Lepisosteus oculatus: one gene and its partner. The protein of the gene in region 1 purifies or fractionates together with the protein of each later gene. This does not show direct contact. Links are inferred from orthologs where the notes say so. Each region holds a gene or a part of one and is shown on either strand. Other genes may lie near its edges. The genes, in order: trifunctional enzyme subunit alpha, mitochondrial; gpc1a.

Region 1 (12,675 bases):
TTGTTCAGGGACAACATTGCCTTTCTCATTTTTCGACTGTGGCGAATAGGAACATCAGACATGAACTCTACTCCACCTGCTACTACGGTGTCACACTGGCCGGAAGCTATCAGACCCACAGCTGCACAGAAACAGGACCAGACTTAGTTTGCAAAAGAACACAAAATGCACACAGCGTTATGCAAAAATCCCAAACACCATACCTCCTCACACTTTCCCTTAATGTTTTTTACTGACCTTTTCTCTTTACAACCTTTAAATGGACAGATGGCTCCAAAGCTATAGGTAACACTTAAATCAATGGACTGGAAGGACTGTTCAAGACAGACAATTTCTATATGATTGTTTTCGGTATGGGATAATATATTAAGTTAAAATTTAATGATTATGACATTAGAATGTCCTTTTAACTTCAATAATACTAAAGCTTTGACCTTCAGAGACAAATTTCACTTAATTAATGTCAACAAACTGCATTTTGAAAGCTTTGTTGTTGCTTTTCTTCCTAAATAAAACATTCATGAAAAGCTTCAATTAAAATCAGAGAAAAGTGTTCATTTTCTTACATGCACAAGGAACCATGAAGAAGACGCTCAGATAAGAACGCTACTGCTATGTTTGAACCATTGGAAAAATTGAATTTTGTGTGTAGTTGAACGCATTTCTACATATAAGTAGCGGAGATACCTGTAGTCATTGCCTGATTAGATGAGATACAAGCCATGGTGACTGTATGTGCTGGAATTCTGTCTGAAAAACCAGCTCCCAAGGCAGCCTAAAACACAGAATTAAAATAAATCAGACATGAAACATTTAAGTGCACAAAGTTTCATATTGGTAAATTCAACAGAGGATTTCACAAAACTGCCAGCACACCTTTCATTACATTTAAATCATAAAGGGTAATTCCTCAAATATTTCTGAAACCTTCAAGCAATCCAACAAACTTTAGAAGTCTAAGAAAAGCACTTAAATGAAATACTGTGTTAATGAGAACAGTTTAATTTACCACAGCAATACATGGAAAGGCTGGAACTTATTCAAGACAGAGCCAAGTGCTGCCAACTAGAGCAAAAGTCAAGCTGTTGTTAAAAATACAGTTAAGCAAAGCAACAACTGCATGAGTATTTTCAATGCTTGGCTAATTGATATCATATTTCAGAAACTTTTTTTATAGCTCACATGAACGATCACTTATCAGTTTCATTTTAATAATCTTACAAACTAGGTGCCTTTTTGCTGGAACGACAACTGGTTATTAGAATTAATCAATGAGTGTTCCCATAGGAGTTCCCATGAAGCTCCATGATTAACATGGAATTCTCCTCTGCATGTAGTGCGGATTCATTTTCGTTCAAGTACACAGATAAAGGGAAGCACGAAAGAATGGATACACTGGATGGCATTTGAGGGGTAACATAGGGAATAAAGCACCATAACACTACAGTACATGGAAAAACTGTAGATTCAATGGGTTTATTATATTAAGACATCACTTCAAAACATTCTTTTGAAAAACACTCAGCAAAATGGGACAAGACTTCTGACATATGTAACCACTCTAAATTCTGATTTAACTATGCATTAAAATGAGTATGCAATGTTTCTAAGTGAACCCTGCAGACCCATGTAATGCTGTACATGTCCAAAATGTTTCTTCTTGCGGTGGTATGATTATAGAGGCTTGAAAATACAGGGTAAATGTACAAAATGAAAATACAGGAAAAATGTGTTTGTAGAAACAGAAATGGAAATCTTATTATATCAATATTACCCATAGTTACAAAGCAGCTATGCAAGAGATACACAGGAAATCCATGGAAAACTGCCAGAGTGCTTCTCATTGTCACGGACGTCCAAAGGGACTAACCATGGGGAGCAGGAGAGCAGAAAAAGACCAATATGCGTAGCGGCGAGACGGGAAAAAGGCCCGGGCTCATTAGTGCAAAGGGTTCAGGAATGCCGTATAGAAACCTATGCCCTCAGGGAGCGGACGTGGGGCGCCCTGGTGCTAGGCGGGTCTCAGGACATCCGAACGTCAATGCTGAGCGAGGACAGAGTGCAAGACCCGGAAATATATAGCCCAAGGGAAAGAGAGGGACAGGAAGGACAGCAGACCGGAAACTAGGGACAGGACAGAGAAGGAGCGCCCTCTGGCTGCAGAGGGTGTGACACTCATAGAAGCACTCCGCATGCATGAACAAAAAGCAAGGAGGGTTGAGATCAGTCTGAAAGTTGATCGTTACCTCTCTGGCAACATTGCTGGTCTTCACTTCCTGGATTACTGTTCCATAAACAATATAGTCTACAGCAGTTCTTGGGATGCCAGTCTTGGTGATGAGCCCCCTGTTGAAAGATGGTTTAAAACTGTACTAAAAAAAACACCTTTTTGATTGTACATATATTTAGTGTTACCGAATTTTCATATTGCCGTTTCCTGAAATCATACCCATTACCAAAGACATTTTCTTAAACGTAACCCCAAAGGAATATTATTTGAATTTTACAATTCATTTTACTTACTGCAACGCTGCTCTGGCCAAGTCATGAGGCATCAAATCACTATACCTAAAAAAATGTCAAAGAAATTTTGTCTTAGCTTGAAGGTAGATAATGACTGGCAAAACATGAGCTCTAATTCCCAACGTTAAGGGTAAAAAGATCACTTAACACCCAAACAGCACAAAATAAATACAAGCGTGTTAAAAAAAAAGCTGAAGGGTACAGCTGTAGCCTCAACTGTTAATACACTACTAGGCTATTTCACATGCATTAGCTTGTAGTCCTACTATCACAATCTATTTAAATATTTAAACGAGCAGCACTTTTATTGACTTCAGGAAAGAAGAATATGTCCTGAATGAACGGATGGGTGGATGGAGTTTACAATTCAGGTGTGTTAAGCTGGATTGTTCTTTTTCAGGGGAAAAGCCTTGTAGCATCTTTTGTCCCACCCCATCGGAAAAAAAAAAAGAAAAATGTTCTGCACGTGAAGAAACAATTATGTTTTCTTTGGGAATTAATCCATTAGTTTGAATTAGTTTGTGCATTAATAACTAAGAAAGATTATACTAAAGACATTCATATTTTTACTTACGTTGTTCCAGACTGCAAAAAAGGGGTGCGCACTCCTTCAACTAGAACGATATTCTTCACACCAGGTTTTGCCAGAGTCTTTTTAGTTTTGGGTTGTACTACAATAATAAAGACAAAACATTCAGAACATTTCCATTCTTACTAATACTAAACATAAAAATAAACTTAACCAAAATAATTGATGGTATTGTCAATCTAAATCATTAAACACATCTTTTGTAAAACACTTTTAAACTTTAGGCACAAAAGCACCGGTAAAAAAGTAATAAGGATCTAGCAATTAGAACAACACAGATTTAAAATATTACATTCTGTCCTTCAAAAAAGGATTTTGAAGAATCAAAGATTTCACACCATAAGAAAGGATAATTTACTTTTAGTCTTCTGGAAAGTACTGTAATTATCGATAAATTATTTTAATTCAAAACCCCCAAAGGTAAAATAAACATTTTGCTAAAAAAACACTTTTCTTTTTTGCACAAATGGCACAAAAGAATTAGACTATACCTTGAGCTTGTAAATGTGATGTCGTAGTCAGTGATCTAGCAGCTGATAAGGATGGAAAATACAAAATATTTCCAAGATTAATTAAAACATCCATTGTATATACACTAAAACCTATATTTAAGAGCTTTCCAATTTTTGTTCTGATATTAGCTATTTTTAATTAATGTAAGAAATTGAACAGATTCAACTCAATGCAAATGAACTGAACAAATTCTATGCAAATGGATTGACGTTATTTTCTGATCATGTAGTTACTGCAGAAATAAATTAGCACAACAGAGCAAATGCTCTCCTCCTGTTCTAAGGTTCTGATCTGATAATAGAAAGGGTAGCTGGAGTGAAACCAGAAGATACCAGACTGGAAATCCCAAATGACAGACTGATTTATTCTGAATTTTATTTTTATAACCTGTTCTTTTTTTCTTACCAAGTTTAACAACCCAGGCAGAATTTACTGGGCAGTTCCTGATGCCATGTGTCAAAATGGATGCCATTTTTGCTGTCCTAAAATGCAGAAGAAAAAGTCGTCAACATTCATTCTCCTTCTGTAAGGAAAATGTAATAGAACCCTGATCTTTTTCACAGTTAATCCTAAGATTGTTAAACAAAGTATTTCACTTACACTGAATGATCATAAAAATCCAGGTATGATATCACGACTTTCCGTTTATGAAGGATTCACAATTTTAGGAAATGCAAAATTTACCAAAAAAAAAGGAAAAACTGATTTAAAGCTTGTTTGTAAATGCATATATATATATAGAGGTCTTAAAAAGAAACAAAACACTAAACTAGATAAATAAATATCTAATAATGTTTAGTGGGGTACAAGTCAAACAGCCCCCACTGTTTTCTGTAGCATTTAATGAACATAACTACAACTTGTCTTCCCTTTTCATAAATGACAACTTCACAACAGTATTAAAGCTTTAAATGCAAAACAATCCACCTGCATTATTTCAATAGTTTTATTTAAATTCAGCATGATGTTTTTTTCCGTGCCTTTTACATAGCAACCACATGAACCTAAGTGAAAGGTTGTTCTCAAGATAATAAGCTTGATTTGTGTGAGAAGAGTCATTTCTTCACATAAAAAGCAGCAGGGTTACAAAAACTTTATAAAACTGTACCAATCCTAATCTATTAAGAAAGAAAATAAAAAAAATCAGTTCAATAATGGCCTGCGACTAGCCCATTTCGTGGTAAGTACTAAAAGTACAAGAATCTCAACCAGCCATTTATTTAAAGAATCTAAGATATCACAGCTTCAGCATGGCTGGGTAGCTTGTTCCAGACTCCCACAACCATTTTGGTAAAGAAGTGTCTCCTGTTCCTGTTTTGAAACGCACTTCTTCTTGTGTCCAATGGTTCATGTTTCACTGTTCATTCTGAAGGATTCTGCTGGGTTGACACTGCCAATGCATGTGAGGATTTTGAATCAGGTTCTGGATAATATCCCCCTATAGCCTTCTCTGATCATAACTAAAAAGTTCACGTTTCTTCAGCACTATAGTGTAGGACAATCCCTTCAGCCCCACAATGTTACTACTCCTTTCTGGATGGATTCTAGAGTAGCAATATCTATTTTATAAAAACATGGCGAGTTAAATTGTATACCATATTCTAAATGATGCTGTCCAGCACAGCAGACATATGACAGGTTTTGGTGTCAAAATTGTTTGACTTCATGGTTGACCTTAATGACATCTTTGAAGTGTTTTTTTTTTTTGCCTTCTGCTTGAGTGTATGAAGTTGTCTATCCAACTTCACACACACAGGGTATTCCAAATGAAGTCTGCATCACACAAATGTTAACATAACCCCCTGAGTTAAGTTCTACTCTTTTAAATATTTATCCTGCCATTTTGATAAAACGATAAGACAGTAAACTGTTCTGCAACGTCACTGCCTCAGTCTACACAAAGAAGCTGCATTCTGTTCTAGGAGACTCAAAAGCATTTTAGTTATCTCTCAAGCACTTCTATATATTTGACATTTAACTCCACCTTTTCAGAAATTCAAGGTAGTAAAACGCATACGGAATTCATATTGTACATTATATTCACAGATCGGGTGTTCCGGAGTGAGAGTTTCCTATCTGGGTGGAAGCACCGCCCACAGCTACACTTGACCTCTCACCTACTTCTCCAACCTCCATACCACACGAGCCTCTGCAATGAAACAATACATTGCAGTTCATTTTGGTTGGAAAAGTAAGGTCTGTGATAATCCAATCCACACAATTCAAGAACTGTGTTCCCTTTAATGGTTACACAAATCCCGAGATTAACAAAAAAGTGGGGCACTTCTTACTGGTAAAGAGAACTTTCAAACGATGTTGGAAATGCAAGGCGCTTGCAAAAATAATACAAAATCTGGCTCCGACAACGCTCGCTTAATTTGGCACGATTTTCTCGATCTAGAATAGAAAATGAATTATTCACATAACGTACCAAATCATAACCAACCTTTAAAAAAATATTAATCAGTTATCGAAAACAGTACCGATTGCAACTTATTGATCATTGTATTTCATTCACATAAAGATAACATCTATACGAACGATGCAATGTTAAACTATTAAGTAAGAGGAGTGTCACTGAAATAGAAGCGCCTGAATTTCAAATTACTAATGTGAAAACTGCAACGCAATGATTTGCACCTGATGTTTCCCCATGACTTAAAAAAAAACAATGCATGCTGCTTTACATACTTCTCTGCTTGTTTACACATGTTTTAGCGCTATGTCTGAAAGCATTACCCGATTTCTTTTCTTTCTGGCGAAATACGCTCACCTTGTCCGTAACGGAATACTCACACGCAACACCCAAACCCTGACTGACCCGGACACAACAAGCCTTACAGTTGTCTCTCTCTAAGGACCTTCGACAGGTTGTGCTTTCCCAATCCTCGCCTGACATCCTTGTGCGGCTCGTTACATTAATGAAATAATAGTAGGAAATTGAACAACAGTACAAACTGGAAACCTTAATAATTTAGAATATTTAGACTTTTATATATATTTAAATTTTACTTTTAGAAGCTTTCTCTTATGTTTTGTCTCAGGCTTATCTGTGGTGTCCTCAACAGATATTAATACTGAAGGTCCTAGTCTGCTTGCCAAAGGTTGTTCTCTCCCTTGTCTGAACTTGACTGGCAAAGATGGCTGGCGTAAGAGCGCTTGGAATACTTTCCAGGTTTGCAACGAGCAGATATTCACTCTTTTCAGGTAACTGAATATGTTAGCTTATTAAGATGCTGGGTGCCACCTGCACCTTCCTCTGTTGCCATTATTGTTTAAGAAAAGAGAAGTTTCTTGGTGCTGGATGAGTGGGTGTACAGTATGCAACTGAAGCAGGTCTGCATTGACCTTTCACCTACTTAAATAGTGACAGTTACTTTGATAGAAATGCACACAGAAGTCATAACATAAGGGTTTTGTTGTGTCTATTGTAGCTGATGCATATAAAATTGAATATTTTTTCTAAGGCAATTTGTTCCTTTATGCGTTTTGCAGTTTTAATTCACCCAGACGTTGCTCTCCTTTTTATTTTTTTCGTGATTGATTTGCTTTCTTTGAGTCTTAAAGGCAATTTCATTGAATTTAATCATGATTATTAGCGTTCTTAATAGTTAATGTTTTGGATTTTTGTAATTCTTTGAAGTAAGTGATTATAGTGCAGTACTACAAACAGCAACGCTAGGAAAAATTAAGACTTTTTCTACACACTGAGCACAAAGACTGAACACACACCAATGTACTCAGTCTTACAGTTTTTGTTTATTCTCCGTAGGGTGTGAGAGTTTTCTTTCCTTATGTGTATTGCATTCAGTTAGTTGAATATGGAGATTTGGAAAAAATACCAGAATGCTGTTAATCACTCTGCAGTAATTAAAGTTACCTTTTAATATGGAGGAGCATTCGTTCTACTTGACTACTCAAACACAGAATTGCTAAAGTATTAAATGGGGTGCCGTGCAGTTTAATATTCAGTGTTAATTATAGTGATCAACTTCTGTGCCTCTGACTTAAAGTTCATAAAAAGCCTATAAAGTATATTCATTTAATTTTTGGAAGGCAAGGGGAAAATCGATTTTATTAAGGCACACTGAGCCTATGTGGAGTGAAAACGCTGTTGCTGTACCTTCTTATACCTTAACATTCATGTCACTGTGGCAAGAGAAAATCACTGCAGTCTTCAAAACCCTTTCAGTTTAAGGCACTTTTTTATTCTGTAAAGATGGGAGAAATCAGTTCTATACGAGGGAATATAGATATTTCATGAAAGAGGTCAGAATATTAACAAAAGTTGATATTGTATGGAAAACATAAAACTGCTAAAAAAGCTATAGGAGCTAAACCATGTAGTGCTCTTAGGTCAGTGCCAGTTAAACTTTATTAAAGTAGTAAAATATGATTATTACTCTAGTTTAATACATGTGTTTTATGGTGTTAACATTTAAAGGTTATTCAGGTAGAGCTGTGTTCCATATTTCACTTTTTGGATTTCCATTTTAAATGATAATTTGATTAACATACTGCAGATTAAAATATTCTGTAAAATATTTCACTTGTGAATGTACTGTAACCTTGATTTAAGCAGTGGCCATTACTAAGCAGTTGCCATTGCCAGTGGTATTGATCTTGTGCTGTGTCACATGTTAAAAAGAAGGACAAAGGTCACTTTCTGCAAGCTTTTTATCTTTCCACCTATAAAAGGAATTTGTGTCAAAGTTCATTGCCTTCTTGCATCAAGTAGACTTGACGACCCCAAGTTGACCCCAAATATTAAAGGGACCACTTACTTCAATGTGATTTTTCACTTGACTTTCCATGTTAAGAGTTTTTTTTTTACTGTTTAGCATTTGTATTATTGAAATGCAAGCTAATTGAATATATAAACCTATACTAATGCAATATTTTAAAGCATTTAAAATGCTTCATTAAAAATATTTTTTTTTTATTCCTGAATGACAACTGTTTTGAAGGTCTTCTCATTTATACTTATAAATGTGACGCATTTGTTTCCCTCAGCCTTCTATATTTAACACTACACATCTTGCCATGGGTATTTTATGAATGTAGAAAGAGATTTGTCCCCAACTAGAAGCTGTAGTGTGTCAGCGGTCACTGGGTAAAATGAATATTAAGGTGTTGAAACAGCTACAATTATCCATCAAGGTTACAAACTAGTCTGATCAAGTACCACATACTGGACTTAAAATTTTGTTAAATTCCAGGAAGTTCTAGAAACATCCAGCAGATAATGTAACAATGTTTTGCATTTAGGGAAAGTTAACAAGGACTGTAAGCAAAAAGCATTTGAGCAGGTGTGGTTGAAGAGCACGAGACCAGACTGAACGAGCTACAGCCAAACAATTCAATGTTAGCACTTGATTCTGCCTTGATGAACCAGAACTTGTGAAATACAGGAGCGCTAAAAGGACTTCTTTTAAACACAGGGAAATGAGCTGTACGGCCAAATTTAAGGAGCTAGTTAAGAACCCATTCCGAAATCCACCAAGCAAAGTTTGTTTATTAGGAGTTTTGATTGGGACCAAAATGTGTCTCTCTTTTCCTCCGTTTAAAGGCAGGCTTTGCCATAGATAATTATTTGGTTTGTGAAATTCACTCGGTTTATCTTGATTGAGATGTATGTATCCTTCAACATGAATGATGCATTCATAGTCTTTTATTTAATTAGCTTGCATTTTGTGCTTCAGATAGTGTGATAAGTTTGTCACTAAAGCTATTGCCTATTTCATTGCTACCACCTTGAGGATAGTACATAAAAAAAGGCCACATGACCTTGTTCATGTGAGTAATTCACCTGACGAATAAGGTGGGTTATTATTCATCTTTAATAAATGTGCTGTTTCTCAGATTGTACTGCCTTGTTTGAAAGTGAATCTTAACGTAAAACCTTAACTACCTACTTTTGCTATTAATACCCCTTATATTATTATTCCTCATAAGTTTTATTTTCTTTCTGTAGGTTATGCGTGCCGCAGCTTCACAGTTTCTTCTGCCATGCTAGGTAACTATGGTCATAGTCTGTTATGTTGTACAGTATGTTTTGTTAATATTTTGTAAAATGGTTACAAATTTTGTTTTCCCTACAGTTCGAACCCATGTCAACTATGAAGTTAAGGGAGATGTTGCAGTTATACGAGTCAACGACCCAAACTCCAAGGTACTTCAAATATATCATTAGACTTTTTTTCCGATATTTCCAGCTTTTTTCTGTTCTGTGTTTTAAACGCCTAGTTTTCAATTGAATAACGTCAAGCTTTACTTTTGATATTAATTTGACACTAAAAACACAATAGCAGCTATAAGTGGACCTTTGGTCTCATTCACTGTCAGTTTTTTTTATCCTAACCAATAAGGACACCCGGTGTAACTGCTAAAGACTGGACATACGCCAGCAGAATCACTCTTTTATACCCACCTACAAAACAAAGTAGGAATGTATTAGGTTTATGAAAGTAAAGAACAATTATGAATATCGTGCTTAAAGCAATGCTCCAAATATAAATGAATTTTTCTAAAAAGTTTGTCCTATTTTGAGACATACTTAAATATGAAGATATAGAAAAACTAAATACAAAAATAGACAGGTAAAAAACATGTAGAAAATATTAGTATAATCTTAATGATTATATAATATGCCATAAAAAAGTGACTTAACTAGTTTTTATTTGTTGCCTATGTAAGGCAGGTTACATAGACGACCATTTTAATACTAAAGGAAACTTTGATTTGTCTTTGTCTTTTGCAGGTTAATGCTTTGTCGGTGCAGATGCAGTCAGAATTAACACAAGTAATGAATGAAGTCTGGACAAATGATGCCGTCAAAAGTGCTGTGCTCATCTCCTCCAAGCCTGGCTGCTTCATAGCCGGAGCAGATATCAAGTCAGTCCTAATTAATAGATTAAATTGAAGCAATTTGTCTGTGTATTTGTTGTGTCCTTTATTACCGATAAAAATTATTTTGCAACGCCATAGAAGTGACCGGCGGGTTTTTTTTTCATTTGCCCATTTTGGTGTAACTCTTGTTCAGTATTTTATGTCCAGATCCTGTCCGCTTCTCTTTTAGTTCGTTTTTATTCCTTTTCTTGCAGCATGATAGAGGCCTGTAAATCTGAAGCGGAAGTGACCAAACTTTCTCAGGAAGGACAGAAAATGTTTGAGAAGATTGAAAAGTCCCCCAAACCCATTGTTGCTGCAATTAATGGATCCTGTTTGGGAGGAGGCCTGGAGGTTAGTTTTCATTCAGTTACACACTCTTCTGTTTTATGAATTCATACCCAAACTACAGAAGTGCTTGATTTATGAAGTTTCACTGCAGCAAAGCTCATAGTTTAAAACTTGTATTTTACTGCAGACTGTGATTTTTACAAGGCACTTCCCTTGTGATGTCAGTTATTTTGCTCAGTAATTTTTGTAATTACAAAGGGATCGATTGTAGTTGTACACCTGATTTTTAACATCATGCCAGCAAAATACATTGCAGGTGCTTCAGTTGTAACAAAAGCAGACATGAAGAAGAAAGCAGTTCCACTACTTTAAAGAATTAAAGTGATGGAAAAAATCCAAGCCAAGCAGTTGAAAGACATTTGCCTTACCATGAGATGAGCAGCACTGTGCTGATCTTCATCGGTTCGCCATTTAAAAAACATGTTTACTGCTACAACAAGATAAATAAGATACCGATGAGAAACCTGCATAAGTGTTCTTATTTTGACAATTTTTATTTTGACTCACTTCATTGGTGAGTGCGTTGATGTTTTGTATTTTGTTTTTGTTTTTTCTTTTCAAGTTTGCCATTGCTTGCCAGTACAGAGTGGCAACAAAAAACAAGAAGACAGTTCTTGGTACGCCTGAGGTTATGCTGGGCTTATTGCCAGGAGCTGGAGGAACCCAGAGACTGCCAAAAATGGTATTGATGGAAATGCATCAAGATTCATTCTTCTCATGCATATTATGTGCTGTGTGTGTTCCACCTGTAGATTGACTAAATTATTCTTGGGCCTTTTGTTGGACAGGTGGGTCTTCCCTCTGCCTTTGACATGATGTTGACGGGAAGAAACATCCGTGCTGATAAAGCTAAAAAGATGGGGCTTGTTGACCAGCTTGTCGACCCACTTGGTAAAAAATTCTGTCAACGGAAAACTTGTTCTCCCATTATCAGTGCTTGTCTTTTTTTTTTCAAACAAAGTTTTTCAAACGTCAGCAGGACAGTTTTCAATTTAACTTGAAGTATTAATACTTATTTGGCATCTCCTGATTTATCCTATATGTTCTTTGTAATTATGCAAGGGACTGGGTACTGATCTGTTTCTTTTTCGCTTTTAAGGCCCTGGGTTGAAAAGTCCCGAGGAGAGAACAATTGAGTACCTTGAAGAAGTTGCTGTGGAATGTGCCAAAGGAATAGTCAGTAAGAAAATCTCCCTCAAGAAAGACAAAGGATTGATGCAGAGTAAGTCTGAGGAAGAGTCTTTAAATGTACACCTCTACATGGTCTGAGAGGTTATATAAGAAGGGTTCTATAAAATAGGAACAAGTAATAGGTTTATTCCATGCTGAAAAGAGAAGAAAGAAAACACAACATACGGATTCAGAAATGTTTAGTCTAACTATGCAGACCTTTCTCAAAATCATTGATTGTGGGGAAAAAGTTAGATTCATTTTTTTTTACTAAAACAATGAATGTGTACATAAGATTATGTGAAAGGCGGTGATCTGTCTGCCCGAGCAGTCTTGTGGCTTTAGACTAGGTTTTTAATTGGCGTATCTGGAGTGCTCTGGACTTCTGTTCACCCACAGAGCTGGGTATTTATGCTTTCCTTTTTTTCTTTAAGACACAACAGTCCCAGTCATTATTGTCTACTGCTATTTCGACCCAAGACGAATCGTCCCCAGAAGGAAACATAAAAATCAGTTTCAATACCTGTCTCTCTTTTCTTAGCAACATCATTTACACAGTAGAAAAAGTTTCCTTTGTAATCATTACACAGGGGACCCTTCAGTGGTCTATAACTCTAGATTTCTTCCCTGGTCTTGCAGGT
Region 2 (12,801 bases), on another chromosome or scaffold:
ATTAGAAACAAATTGGCTTAGATATGTACTTAAAGAGAAAAACTGTCAGAAAAGAAATGTCATTTACTCCAAACAACATTTATCCCCCAAAATGATTAGAGACCCACATGAAAAAGCTTTAGTGCTTTAGAAAGCATAGCAATACCTGACAGTATTCTCAAGCACAACTTCATAACTCAAATAGAATAAACTTAAACTGGGTGGCTTTTGAAAATTCATAAAAGGTTCGCTATTATATTAGACAACAAATAAAGAAGTAACCTACAGCGAACAATTAGAAGTTTTCAGTCATCTTATTTACTGAATGACACTAATATTTGATTTAAGATTTATAAGGTTTTGCTTCTCTCTTCAATTTATTTTGATACATTCCTAAGAATGATGATAAATTGTGTTTTTGTCTATAGTAATGTTCTGCAATAACATTTACTGGGCAATACTGTGGGACTGGAATGAGGAGACCTGCTAATGTACTGTAGATATGTCCAGTTTTCATGCAAGCCAGTTATTAGTAGATAATAGATTAAGTTCATTTGGGTCACGGTAAAAAATAAACCAATGCAATACACACATGCAGAGAATGAAAGGAATGTTAGAGGATGGAAATTCATGTGAATCCAATGATAAAACAGGTTAGGAGGTTACATTTTTCAAACCTTTAAGGATTTCATTTCTACTAAAATATTGTATGCTCCAAAAAGCTGAGTTAGAAAGAATGGCACCTTCATTAAATTAGTTTTCATTTCACAAAAACTGATGAAGGCATCTTCCAAAAACAAAATTAAGATGACGCATGAACCTAATAGCCTGGAAGCATTGTCACAATAATGGAAATGAGAGGGATAAATGACCATGTCTTGGCCGTCAACAGCATGTTCATGCTTAACTACAACCAGCAGATGTTGTGAATGTGATCATTACAGCAACATAAAGCATTGGGCTACAACTCTAACATGTTCAATACATTTATTAGCCCCAGTGGCAGTTCTGCTTCAATGCAGACAGTAGGTAATTGGTCATATAAGCACAGACTACACCAAATGAATACAGTAGAGCATCAGACAGGACATCAAAGGTCACAGCTATCATTACAATGAGACCACACAGCTTGGATCCAACCTTCATTAATGACTCACAATGCAATCTAGAAATGAATCTACAATATTTCCATTCGTGAGAAGCACCTTGGTATTACCATTTTTGAGCTTTAGTCTCTGAAAGAGACACTTCTGTTGATGGTGCAGCAATAGCATCGGCAGGGATAATCACAAATACTCTATTCTATTCTTGCTTCCAGTACTGGCAGTGCACGGGCTGTACTGTGGAATGTCTGCTTTTCAGCTTAGTGCTTTCTTATGTCTTATGTACTATGTTGTGTATTATTAAAAGCTCTCCTGAAAACACTTAAATATGCCTTAAATGTGCTGATCTTTGTGTTTTGTGTTCAGATTACATGCATGAGGGAGGCAGTCTGAATATAACATAGGTCAGCTATAAGACACTTATATACTTGTATATGCCTGTCCTTAAGCATGTTTAAGAATAATGTGTGTGTGGCATTTGTTTAGTTCCAGGCTGTCTGAAAGGGGTGTCTTCTGAAGACCTAAAACTAAGCATATTCCCTGTGGCAGACAATCACAAGTGTGCCTAGAAGTGAAAGTCTCAGTTGGTTAGCACCTGTCTACTTCTGTCAAACTGGACCATCCACACACACACACACACACACACACACACACACACACACACACACACACACACACACACACACACACTCTACCACCACAGAGGAGGACCAAGGTTGTGGGGCTGTTTTGTATAGTATGGGAATCACAAAGTGAAACATTCAATATGGTATATTATTTCTTCACGGTGCCATTAAAATGTTTGGCATTCAAAACAAAAGAGGAATGTACTATATAGCCAAACTAAGAACTAAGAAAAGCAAGAATAAGGAATGCTGAATTTCACTTATTCAGCAAATCAGTCTCTAATTTACTTAATTATAGTTCCTCAGCTAAAAAAGTTATTTTCTCATTTGTTGTAGAATGCAGCTTACTGATTTAATTTGTTTAGTTTTCCTCTCCAGAACATGTTTTTCTATAAATACTTTAAGCCTGTAGTATGCTAGTGTGGCATCAGTAAAATACCTACAGTATATCCTGCACAAAACTATTAGAGGTGGAGATTCTCATTTTCAGATTAGGAACTCGGAAGAATCTCTTTTTTTATATACTTTTGAGGACCCTGCAGATCTAGAGCCCTTGTCTTTGGTGTCGGTTTCATAAAAGATTCTGGAATAGCATCCCACAGCGTGACAAAAGGTCTATTTGATACAAAGGCATGGGAATTGAGTAAATGCCAAGTCTGGAAGAATTTCCTAAACTGTATGAATATTTCCAATATCTGTTACGTGCTTCCATCCTCATGATGATTCTGTTTTGTAAACAGTAATTCAATCCTTCTTGCACCTTCATGTTCAGATGAAGTATTCCTCATTCCTCACTCAGACATTTTGTTTTACCACGCCTATTTCTTTCTACTTAGTTACAGACTAACATCGGTCTTTTCAAACAGCGGCATCAAGCTGGCAGAAACTTGGTTGGTACAGTATGGCTCTGCCAGCAGAAGCAGCAGATGTTTTTACCTGGAAGTCTTGCATGCCAGCTTCAAACTTTTCTATGCGTGTACATTTTGAGCATATGTTAAAAATATCAGAAAATCACTAAAATGAAACATAGATATACTGTATCTCAGGGATACTTAATAGCCATATTGCTTATAATGTTAATGGGTCTATGAAGGAGAAGTGATAAATGAATAATACAATGTAATGCAATATTTTGGATAAAGTAATTTTATTGTAGTCGCACTGAATAAGTAATGTGCAATTCTACTGCTGTAAGTAAACCACTGCCTGGATATTCTTACAAGAGATTCTTTGATGGCAAAGTATTGTACCTTGCAGGTGGAGGAAAAGCAGGAAGATAAATCTTTGCTGTACCCCAAACTCATCAAGCACTCCATTCTGTGTCTTCTCTGTCTTAATTGCTCTGTGCCCTCAGCTGCCAAGATCTGTCTGTACCAGCGTTACTGATGTGCCAGCCATTTGCCTCCCTTTTCTGTCTGTGAAAACTGACCTTCTTTCTTCGCAGTGTGATGCAACGAAACTCTACTGGGGATTTTGTGTGTACGAGAGAGAGTAACGGCTTATTTTCACTTGATAATTAATACGGATACACATTAAACCTCTTGCACTTTCTCTCATCATATCAGCGTGCAATGCTTTAATTCAGTTTAAAGTGCTTACGAAAAGTCTTCTTGATTTTTTTTACCCTTCTATTTTGTTTGTTCATTGCATTTTCCTTGCTTTAGAACAAAATTCAACACAAGATGTATACAAATAGGCTCTAAAAATGAGGAAATAAAAAAAAAGAAAATGAAATCTTTCTCAATTAAAGTTTAGGATAGGCAAGCTCTGTCTGCCACAGTAGATCAGGAGACCCTGAACAGTCACTGTAGACGCAGGACGGTGTTCTAATTCAGACTGTTGTTGCACATGTGTGGTTAGGAAGCTCTTTGTAATTATTGTGCATATTTGAGCTCTTTGCTCAGTGTCGGAAGCTGTTCCTAATGCCAGGAACGCTACCCTTATGGGACACATATGGCTGTGTAGCCCCCTTATCCCCTTCTGCCCCGAAAGCTGCACTTCAAACACAACCCACTCCCTCCCCATTGCTTATTAAAAGTCATCCCTCTTTCATGGTTACATTCTATAAAACCCTGCCTGAAAAAATGTGAAAATAGCATGGCTCTTTAAGTGGCTCTTTAGGTTTAACAACAATGGCAGTTTTTCTATGTAGTTACAGTATAGGCAAGTTTCCACACCTATTTCTTTATTACAATTTGTTTTACTCCCTATGACATTAACATCATTATGAAAATCTACACCAGCACTTCCAAAGCCCGTTCACATCAACATGTTTCTTTATCCAGTAGAATTATTTTATGAATGCCAAATGTTCCTTGATTTAATTAAGCTTTGTTAATGAAAGCTGTCATGATTTGCGTATGAGCTTTTTTTTCCACATTCTGCTTTGCTTCATCTTGGTTCTTTTGTTGTGGTTTGCTATGGTATTGCACTTTTCTGTCTGGAAAAATATGGGGTTTAGGGGGTTTTCAAAAAAATGAGAAAGAGATGCGAATAAATTATACTAAAGTGCTCATATCCTGTTTCAAAACTGTGCTGGCAACTATTTTCAATAATTTCATTATGCATGAGCCATGCAATACTTTGTGTGGATTGGTTGCCTACTTTAAAAAGTAAGGAACAAACATATTGATAACTACCACATTTTGTGCATGTGTTTCAGTAGCATTGAATTGAGAAGTCAATTTGAAAATGACGTATAAGTGCTGTAAACCTTGTGGTAGCCCAAATTCTATAACTCATGCTCATCATGTGCTTCAGAACAGCAAACAACTTAAGCTTAGCAAAACATACTGTAGTGTTCTATTTTCATGGAGAGCAAGCTGGGGTATGTGAAAAGATAATTCCTAAAGCAAGAAATTGTAAAGGGTTAATAAAGTGATGTTATTATTATTTCCTCAGGAATGAATGTGCTTACTTTGAACATACAGTACTCCACTTATTGTCAGCATTGTTAAACATTCCATCCATGGCATAACATTACAGGAGATTATGAATTGGTTATAGTACTGAATGATGAAGAGCACATTGAACAGGTAAATATTAACATGTGGTAAAGTGAATTAGTTGATAAGTTGCAAAACTACTAACAACTATGCTTTTCAGCTTCTTGGGTCTATTTAACTGACATTTGTGCTTAGTTTACATCAAGTACCTAAATTCTGGTATAATAAGAATATGTATTATATTTTCTGGGAATTAGAAAGCTAGACTCTTGGTGGTGGTCGCTAGTAAACATCATGAGAGAAGATAGGAAATGCAAAATGTTGTTGTGCAGAAATCCCATCACACACAGAATGTAGCTCATTAGTGGCATATTCCTCTGTAAGATCAAATCAAAGTCGAGCTCTGCCACATGTGAATGTACAGTAGAATGTTGTTTGTTTGAACAGAATAGTTTCAGGAAATTAAATGTAATAGCCAATACAAAATAAAAAAAAAACCAAGAGGCAATGTTTTTTGTGAGATGTGTTTTGTGTTTTGTATTAAGTGTTAAGTGTCTTGTATTAAGTTCTGTTGTCATATTGGCTTAATCATAGTCTCAGATACTTACTTAAATCTTTAAAGGCTAAAGTCCCAACACACATTGCTTTGTCAGTATTAAATTACTACTGCTACTTCATATTGTTTTTTTACTACAAAGTGTTGTCAAATCACCAGAAAGAATCTTATAACTAAAAAAAACACCAAGGCTTCAGAGAGACCTAGTTGAAAAGAAGTAACAATTTTACAAAAGTTCATAAGGAAATAATGAGGGAATTGCTGCATACTGTACATAATATACATTTCCCAGGACATTCTTCACTTCAAAAAAAGTTCATTCTGTTCTAGAGCTCAAAGTTATAAATGAATAGTCCATAAAGATTTTCAAATTCTTAAATTAAGACAGCAAACGTCAAATTACATTTTACGCTGCGTTCTTTGTATAGATTGAGATATTTTAACTTGAAACTGTACCACAGCAAATTCATTATATTATTATTTTATTACCAAAGTTGAATATTTAAAATTTGGGATTCTTGCTTCACATTACTTTACAAACACTAATTTACTACTAGACTTTCTGAACTACAGAAATAATTTCTTCACAACCCCTACTTAGAATAATCAGTGTTATGTGCTTCTTTTAACTCTCCTTGTATGATTTTATTAAACTAGTTGATGCTTGTTTGAAGTCTCTAGACAACTGCCCATGCTCTGCAAATATGTAGAAACTTGAAAATCTTCCTGTTGAGAAAATCTTTCACCAGCATGTCACAGCTTTGTGTATTGTGTATTGTGTATTATTTCAAAGAAGGGAAAAAGACACTTGTTAGCTAAATACATATACACTATATTTTCTATCTCCTAACTTACTATTACGTCATGCTTTTCTAGTACTATAAAACCTCTAACTTTATCTTTCCCAAGTGAGTACACAGACCTGAGAAAATGTTTTTTTTTGTATTTCTGTTTCAGGCTTCAATTTGGAATGACACGCTTAATCATGACAAAAAGCAAAATGTATTTGTTCTGAAGATCATTTTACTTGTTTTACCTAAAATCTGGAATGTTTGGTTGAGCCAGAAAAAAGAAAAAAATATTTAATTAAAAAAAATATGTCATGATGTCTTCTAAGTCTTCTAATGTAGACACTTGCAAACAGCACATACTGTATAGCAAATAAACTTCAGGGAGGCATTCACTGAGAAGAACAAAACAGATAATCTCACTGACGAATAGGATGTTAACTTTCTTCAACCGTTACCTGACTTGCTAAAACTAAACAATAATTTTAACTTTAGCTTTTGTATTGTGAGGTAGCAACAGAAAACATAATCCATTGTAGGTTTGGGTAAGAAATGTTTTTGTAATGAACATGGATTGATTAGCTCAACCCTATTACTAGTATGCCCCAACAGTTTCCACTCTTATTAATGAGAATTATGTGGGCTGTCAGGAATCTAATGAATTCTATTTAAATTGTGGAAACTCCTTGTTTGTTTGGCTCTGTTTCTAATGAACTTAAATCATGACAGCTTGGCAAAATGATGCTTATCAATACCTTTGTAATGTGGAACATCTTATGAATAAAATGTGTGGCACTGAACTGGATGGCTCCCTGTGGGAAACCGATTTAGGTGTTGTAGTGGATTCATCACTGTCATCTCCTAGGCATCGTGGAAAAGCAATTAAAAAGGCAAATAGGATTCTTGGGTATACTGTATATGAAAGAATGCTGAACACAACTCCAGAGAGGTTATGATGAATTGCACATGCTCCACTTAGACTAAGACGAATACTGCGTTCAATTCTGGCTCTGCATCATAAAAAGGATGTAGAAGTCTTGGAGATTTTTTAATGACGGGCATCAAAATTGATTTTGAGACTGCAAGAGATGAGCTCTATTGAAATATTGGGAAGAAGTTATTTTTTTATCCAGAGTCGGCTTGATCAGTGGCAATTGGTCTAATGTCTGTAAAAATGTAAAAGAAACAGTCTGATTTCCTCTTTTGTGTGGCTTATGTTTGATCTGCTAAACAAAGTAGCATTAACAGCCTAGAAGTGAATCTAGAACTGGGCGTTTAAAATGGTTTCAAAGGTTTAATATACATTTTGAAGACTAAAGCGTGCTGTACAGTACAGTAGGTAAACAGCTGCTTCTAATAATAGTTACGCTCATACAGTATATTTTATGTATGTAAAAGGAATACCTTATTTATTCCACTAAATGACAAGACCCGACATCCTAAGAAATGAAACCAATTCTTCATCGCGGATTAACCTTTTAAAATAAACGAATATTTAGCATTATAAGCACGGTGAGCGATGAGTGCGCACCTCTCAAACATTCATGTTTCTCACACCGTAGCTGCCTGCTTTGCTCAATCCTGTATGTTCCGGCCAGAGTTAAATATCGTCTTGTTTGAAAGCAATGATTTGTGTTCGCCCAGCACAGTTAAAAATGAAAAACCGAGGGGTTCCACTGAATCAATCAGCGGTTGTGAAGACAAGCTGAACTGAAAGAGCCAAGGCAAGGGATACATAAGAAGGAGAGACTGAAAGAGGACGAAAAAAATCTTACCTCTCGCCATTGGTCGAGGCTGTAGTTTGATGCAACATCCTGTGGGTAAGATCTGCTGCAGACGCTTAGAGAGAGAAACGGACTCTATGCCCTGCCTATGGTGCTTTCCCCAGTTTCTTTCAGTCATCGATGGGGCTGCACTGGGAAAGCATCACCGCTATAAAGTCAGCTGGAGGATTCTAACTACAGCAAAACATCTCATTCTCGCATTCACATGGTTTCACCGCAAAACGCTGAGTCCTGCGCTTTTTTTTTGTAATGTCAACATAATTGCCTGTTTAGTTTTCTATTTTTTTTTTACATTGGTTAAGGCTCGGATAATGCTTTGATTATTTTTTTTTTGCAAATGAAGTGTTTTCCTTTTTTTTGTTCCAGTGATGATTTTTGTTCCCCCACACAAAAATGAAAAATACTAAAAAGGAACTGTAACAGAAATTAAGGTTCAGATCTTCCCTTTTCTAAGAACAAAAAAACAGAAATAAAACTACCTTAGTCTCAGCAGGAAAAGCAGAATCAAATATTGCGGAATATTATTGGATTTAAACATTTATTTCAAGCTTTAAAAAAAATCATAAGACCGGTCTAAGCATCCGCCGGCGTCTCGCAAGCACAGCTGAAGCGTGTTAGAAAGATAGCAGACTAGTGGAGAAGTCAGGTGGATACCTGAGCTAGTGTAGGACTTTGGTGATTTGAATTCACTTGGTTTTTGGATTAGACATTTTCCCTGTGCTGGATTCTTCGTCTGCCTAGAAAATGGATTTGCGACTGAGTTTCTTCTTTTGCTTTCTCGCCACTCCGATTGTCGGGGAAAACACAAGCGGTAAAGCCCGGAGTTGTTCGGATGTCCGACAGTTTTACAGCGGCAAGGGCTTTCACTTGGTCGGAGTCCCCCAGACTGAAATATCGGGTAAGATCTACGCTCACGCTACTATAGAGTACATTTACTGAGATTCCTCTTATAACACGTCGCCTGAGCATCAATCATATAGTGTAAGACTAGCTGTAACTTGTGCGTGCATGGCGATCGTGTTTTGTACACTCATTTAATGATTTCCCACGACAGTTCAAAGAAGAATACAGTACATACTGTATATACAGTATCTAACCTTATGAAGTAACTATTCCTTTCCCGCTATTAAAAGGAAAGCATGTACTGAAGAGTTACGAATTCAATGCAATAGCCTTTAGTTGCTAAACAGAATACTGTATCTATCTCTACTTTCGTCCCATTCGTACTGGATATTTGTTGACTACATTTGGTGTTTCGGAAAGGATGTATAAATAATCGAGACGCGTGGCGCCACCCATATATATTGAGCAGTTTTTTTGAATATATATATATGCTAAAGAAATCAGGCGGGGATATGAATCTAAATCGCTTATAAACAAACTGGAGTCATAACTACTGTAGCTCCAAAGTGCCATTGATCCGAAAGATGTGCTGTTTTTTTTTCTTTGAAGTTTATACCACACTTAAAACTCTTAAGATCGAAAGCTTTTGAAGTAAAAGATTTGCTTTATTCTATGTAATTACCCTTTCGACTGAAAACATTCCTTAAAACAGGAGGACTAGTACAAATCATGAATATACTGCGGAATACAGATTGTATCCTTTAAAGAAAGCAGTTATGATTTATGCACAAATTTAAAGTATTTTATTTACATTCTCACGCTTAGTTGGAAGATGAAAACGCCAGGCTTGGTCTTGCTCCCCTGGAAGACCTTGTGTTGAATATTTGCAACAATATGAAGCATTCAAGGTGGACTGTATCTTACTGAGAAAGAATCTAAGCTCGGGTCTCGCTGGCTCAATAACTCGAATTGCGTGCTGAAAAACGTTGCACGTTTACATTATCTGAAGTCTTAAGTTAGTCATTTAGCAGTTGCGTTTTTTTTCGCCTAAAGCTTCACACCAGACCTCTTCATAAACGCCTGTTTGCAATGACCTTTTGCTAGTCTATTATTAATACCAGTGTAATGTCAAATTTAGCCACCCACTCAGATGTTACGACCTGCAGTCTCGGAATATAAACATTCAAGAAATGTATCTTGGAACAGAGTACGGTAGTTCTGAAAGACGTGCTTTTTAACTGGAACATGTTTTAGTCTTATAGTGCGGAAAACAATGTAACTTTATTTTGAGGATAATATAATTACAAATAACTATTAATATTTGGTTAAAACACAGAATGCTTGTATTAAATCATATACTTTCGTTCACCAAAAATACTGCTTAAGCTATTTATGCAATAGAGTACTGTAGCAATAGTTGTTTGGTTTGAATCTTCCACCAGAATGTCCTGTCTTTGTTAAATCAAGACTATTATAGGAGTTGTAGGAAGGAAGATATAATAATATAATGGATGTTGTCCTCCTGTCAAAATGTTCTTTAGATATTAAATGCAACAGAATTTGATGCCTGATAATCCTCTGTCAAAATGTCCTATTTAGCAAGTGGAACGTTGTGGCAACACATGACAGCTGTTGATCTTTCATTTTTTTCTACCTTAGCTATTGAACGGATTAGGGTAGCATATTTGTGTCTTTTTCTGTATGTGCATGGTATTAATGCTGCAACGTCTTGCACGCGTAATCAACTGGCACAGTTTTTCGACTTTTTGTAAAGCCGATAGTAAAGTTAAGGCAAGTAATTCAAATGTTTAGAATGTTTAGGCCTCTGTAACGCAAAATGGACTTCGATGCTATTTCTGTATATTTGTATTGTTTATACAGGCACGACGAACTGTGAGATATTGTACACTTACTGTATGAGTGTGTACACATTTCTATATTTTGGAAGTCACACAGAAAAATGATAAAATCACCAGTGTATGATAGTGTTCATCCATTATTAATAAATCATCCTCCTATATATTTACTATGATACACTGTTTTCCAAGTCTTTATGTGGTTGCTTGTATCTGGTACCCTACTGTAGAATTGATTGCAGTCTTCTTCGTGTTTCTCTGTATTTTACTGTAAGTGACCATAAACGTCCAAAAAAGCATTAATGCTTTGATATAAACTATATATGACGACTTTACCTTCTAGGATCAAGGGTATCCCTGTGTTAAAAAAAAGATTTCTTCGATTGGTCCGAATCTTCCGTCGAGATGGCCTTTTGGCATTTTGGGAAGTCTCATACAGTACTGTATGCTATGCCTTGACTCCAGCGAGTCATTGTCCTGAACAATATCTGCGTGCCAGTAAGACCTAAGAATGTTTATGTCTGTAAATCTGTGTACAGTATTTGACCAATTTGTTTACATGTACTTAATTCCGTTAATGTTCAATTCCTAACTGCGGGGGCGTTCTAATCTTACACTGTATTTAACTTCACTGAGTTGTCGAGAAAAAAAAAACATTACGCAGGTGAAACTACAAAACACTGGGTTTCACAGTAAAAGATAAAGACTTCTGGATTTTTAAAATTTTCATATAAAATATGCCTGCCACTGTAGTACTTTAACTGAAACAAAGTGCAGTGCTCCGCAACCCTCTCGAGGAAAAGCGGACTGAAACTGGATGGATGCAGTATTATGTTCTAAAAATAAAACACCTGCTTCTCTTCCACACTTTGGACGCAATTTTGATGCCCTCTGGGAATCTGTAAGGGGAAAATCGAGCATGCGCAGTGTACAAGGTTGGAAAAATTGACGAGGAATCAGAAATTTATGTTACTGTACACGTTCAGCTCATTGCTAAGTCATCCGAATCAGTTTAATAGAATATGTGGTGATAAATGAGAATTACAAAGGTTGAAAGATGTCTTAAACACTCTTAAGCTTACTGCACTGATACCAACTTAGTATATTATATTGTATATTCAATATTCAATATTCCATCATACTGTACACTGTCCACAGTGCCCACAAAAAAATTACAAAGCGCAAGAATTGCTGCTTTGACATGTTTTGGTTCACTTTATAACCATCATGAACTCATAGGTTAATTTAGGCACTTAGGGTTTAGTCATTAGGAGGTGCACTACAAACCTTCTTACTGTACTAATTATCCAATGATACTATGAAGTGAACTAGTAAAATTGTACTTGGCATCATTGAGAGGGTGATGTATGGATGAAGTACTGTGCTGTTAAGCAAATCTTTTTTTTTTGTCTGCTGTCACGATTCAGATTGTATAAAAAGCTTATGTATAAGGTGCAAGGAAAGAAAAATGCAGTTTTTAATAAGAGGGATATTTTTTCATTTTAATTTCTTCTTATTAGGAGTATTTTAGTGGTTCATTAATAAAAAAAGTTTCTCTTTAGAGGCTAATATGGATTTTCTCTAAACAATTTTCTGATCTGTACTTAAATATAACTGTTTTACTAATAGCAGTTCCATTGTATTTTATATTTAACATATACATTTTTAAAAATTCATGGAGAGCTGACAAATGTGTTAATTGCTTAAACCCAGCCCTCATGTACTGTAACCTGGCAATGGTTTCTTTACCCTTGCCTAATTTAACCTCCAAAAAGAGCATTTTTATCTTTTGGTTATTTTTGTCATTAGAGTCTTGAGATTTCATCACATATTTAGTGTAAATTAGAAACAAAGCGTGCACTTTGACAAAAATCTTATTGTTTTTAACAGTTTATGTTTAAAACAACATACCAAAATTCACAAAGGGAATGGAACATTTTCACATAGAACATGCAGATTTCTTGATTTGATAGAGGTTTGATGGAGAAAGAGATAATAAAGATCAACCCTTTTATCAATACAGCCAATACATGTTTCAGCCATTTTTCACTATAATAATAATAATAATTAATAATAATTGCTTATACTTATATAGCGCTTTTCTGGACACTCCACTCAAAACGCTTTACAGGTAATAGGGATCCCCTCCACCACCACCAATGTGCAGCATCCATGCAAGCTTTTCACAGAAGAAGCAGCTTTCACTGCCTTATCAGTGATATCTTAAAAAAGCTGTCATAGAACAGCCTTTCTAAAGTGTAAGTACATTAATCAAAGTACTGTTTTAAATACAATATTTAGGTCCACCACAGCACTTGCAA

What was found.
Region 2: the proteins of trifunctional enzyme subunit alpha, mitochondrial (region 1) and gpc1a purify together in Homo sapiens (co-immunoprecipitation; 3 studies listed by BioGRID and IntAct, with this or other methods). This does not show direct contact. The link is inferred for Lepisosteus oculatus from reciprocal best matches to the Homo sapiens genes HADHA and GPC1.

The regions. Positions count from the first base shown.
Region 1 is NC_090697.1:47,015,717-47,028,391, forward strand, and holds the start of trifunctional enzyme subunit alpha, mitochondrial, read left to right. Parts: upstream 1-6,722; 5' UTR 6,723-6,765; coding exon 6,766-6,832; intron 6,833-9,599; coding exon 9,600-9,641; intron 9,642-9,726; coding exon 9,727-9,797; intron 9,798-10,385; coding exon 10,386-10,519; intron 10,520-10,728; coding exon 10,729-10,867; intron 10,868-11,426; coding exon 11,427-11,546; intron 11,547-11,652; coding exon 11,653-11,755; intron 11,756-11,963; coding exon 11,964-12,086; intron 12,087-12,675. Other genes in the region: hadhb (trifunctional enzyme subunit beta, mitochondrial), read right to left, coding at 1-121, 688-775, 2,247-2,346, 2,524-2,568, 3,098-3,194, 3,604-3,645, 4,031-4,097. UniProt on the Homo sapiens protein: Mitochondrial trifunctional enzyme catalyzes the last three of the four reactions of the mitochondrial beta-oxidation pathway.
Region 2 is NC_090708.1:10,789,541-10,802,341, forward strand, and holds the start of gpc1a (glypican-1), read left to right. Parts: upstream 1-7,834; 5' UTR 7,835-8,525; coding exon 8,526-8,679; intron 8,680-12,801. UniProt on the Homo sapiens protein: Cell surface proteoglycan that bears heparan sulfate. Binds, via the heparan sulfate side chains, alpha-4 (V) collagen and participates in Schwann cell myelination.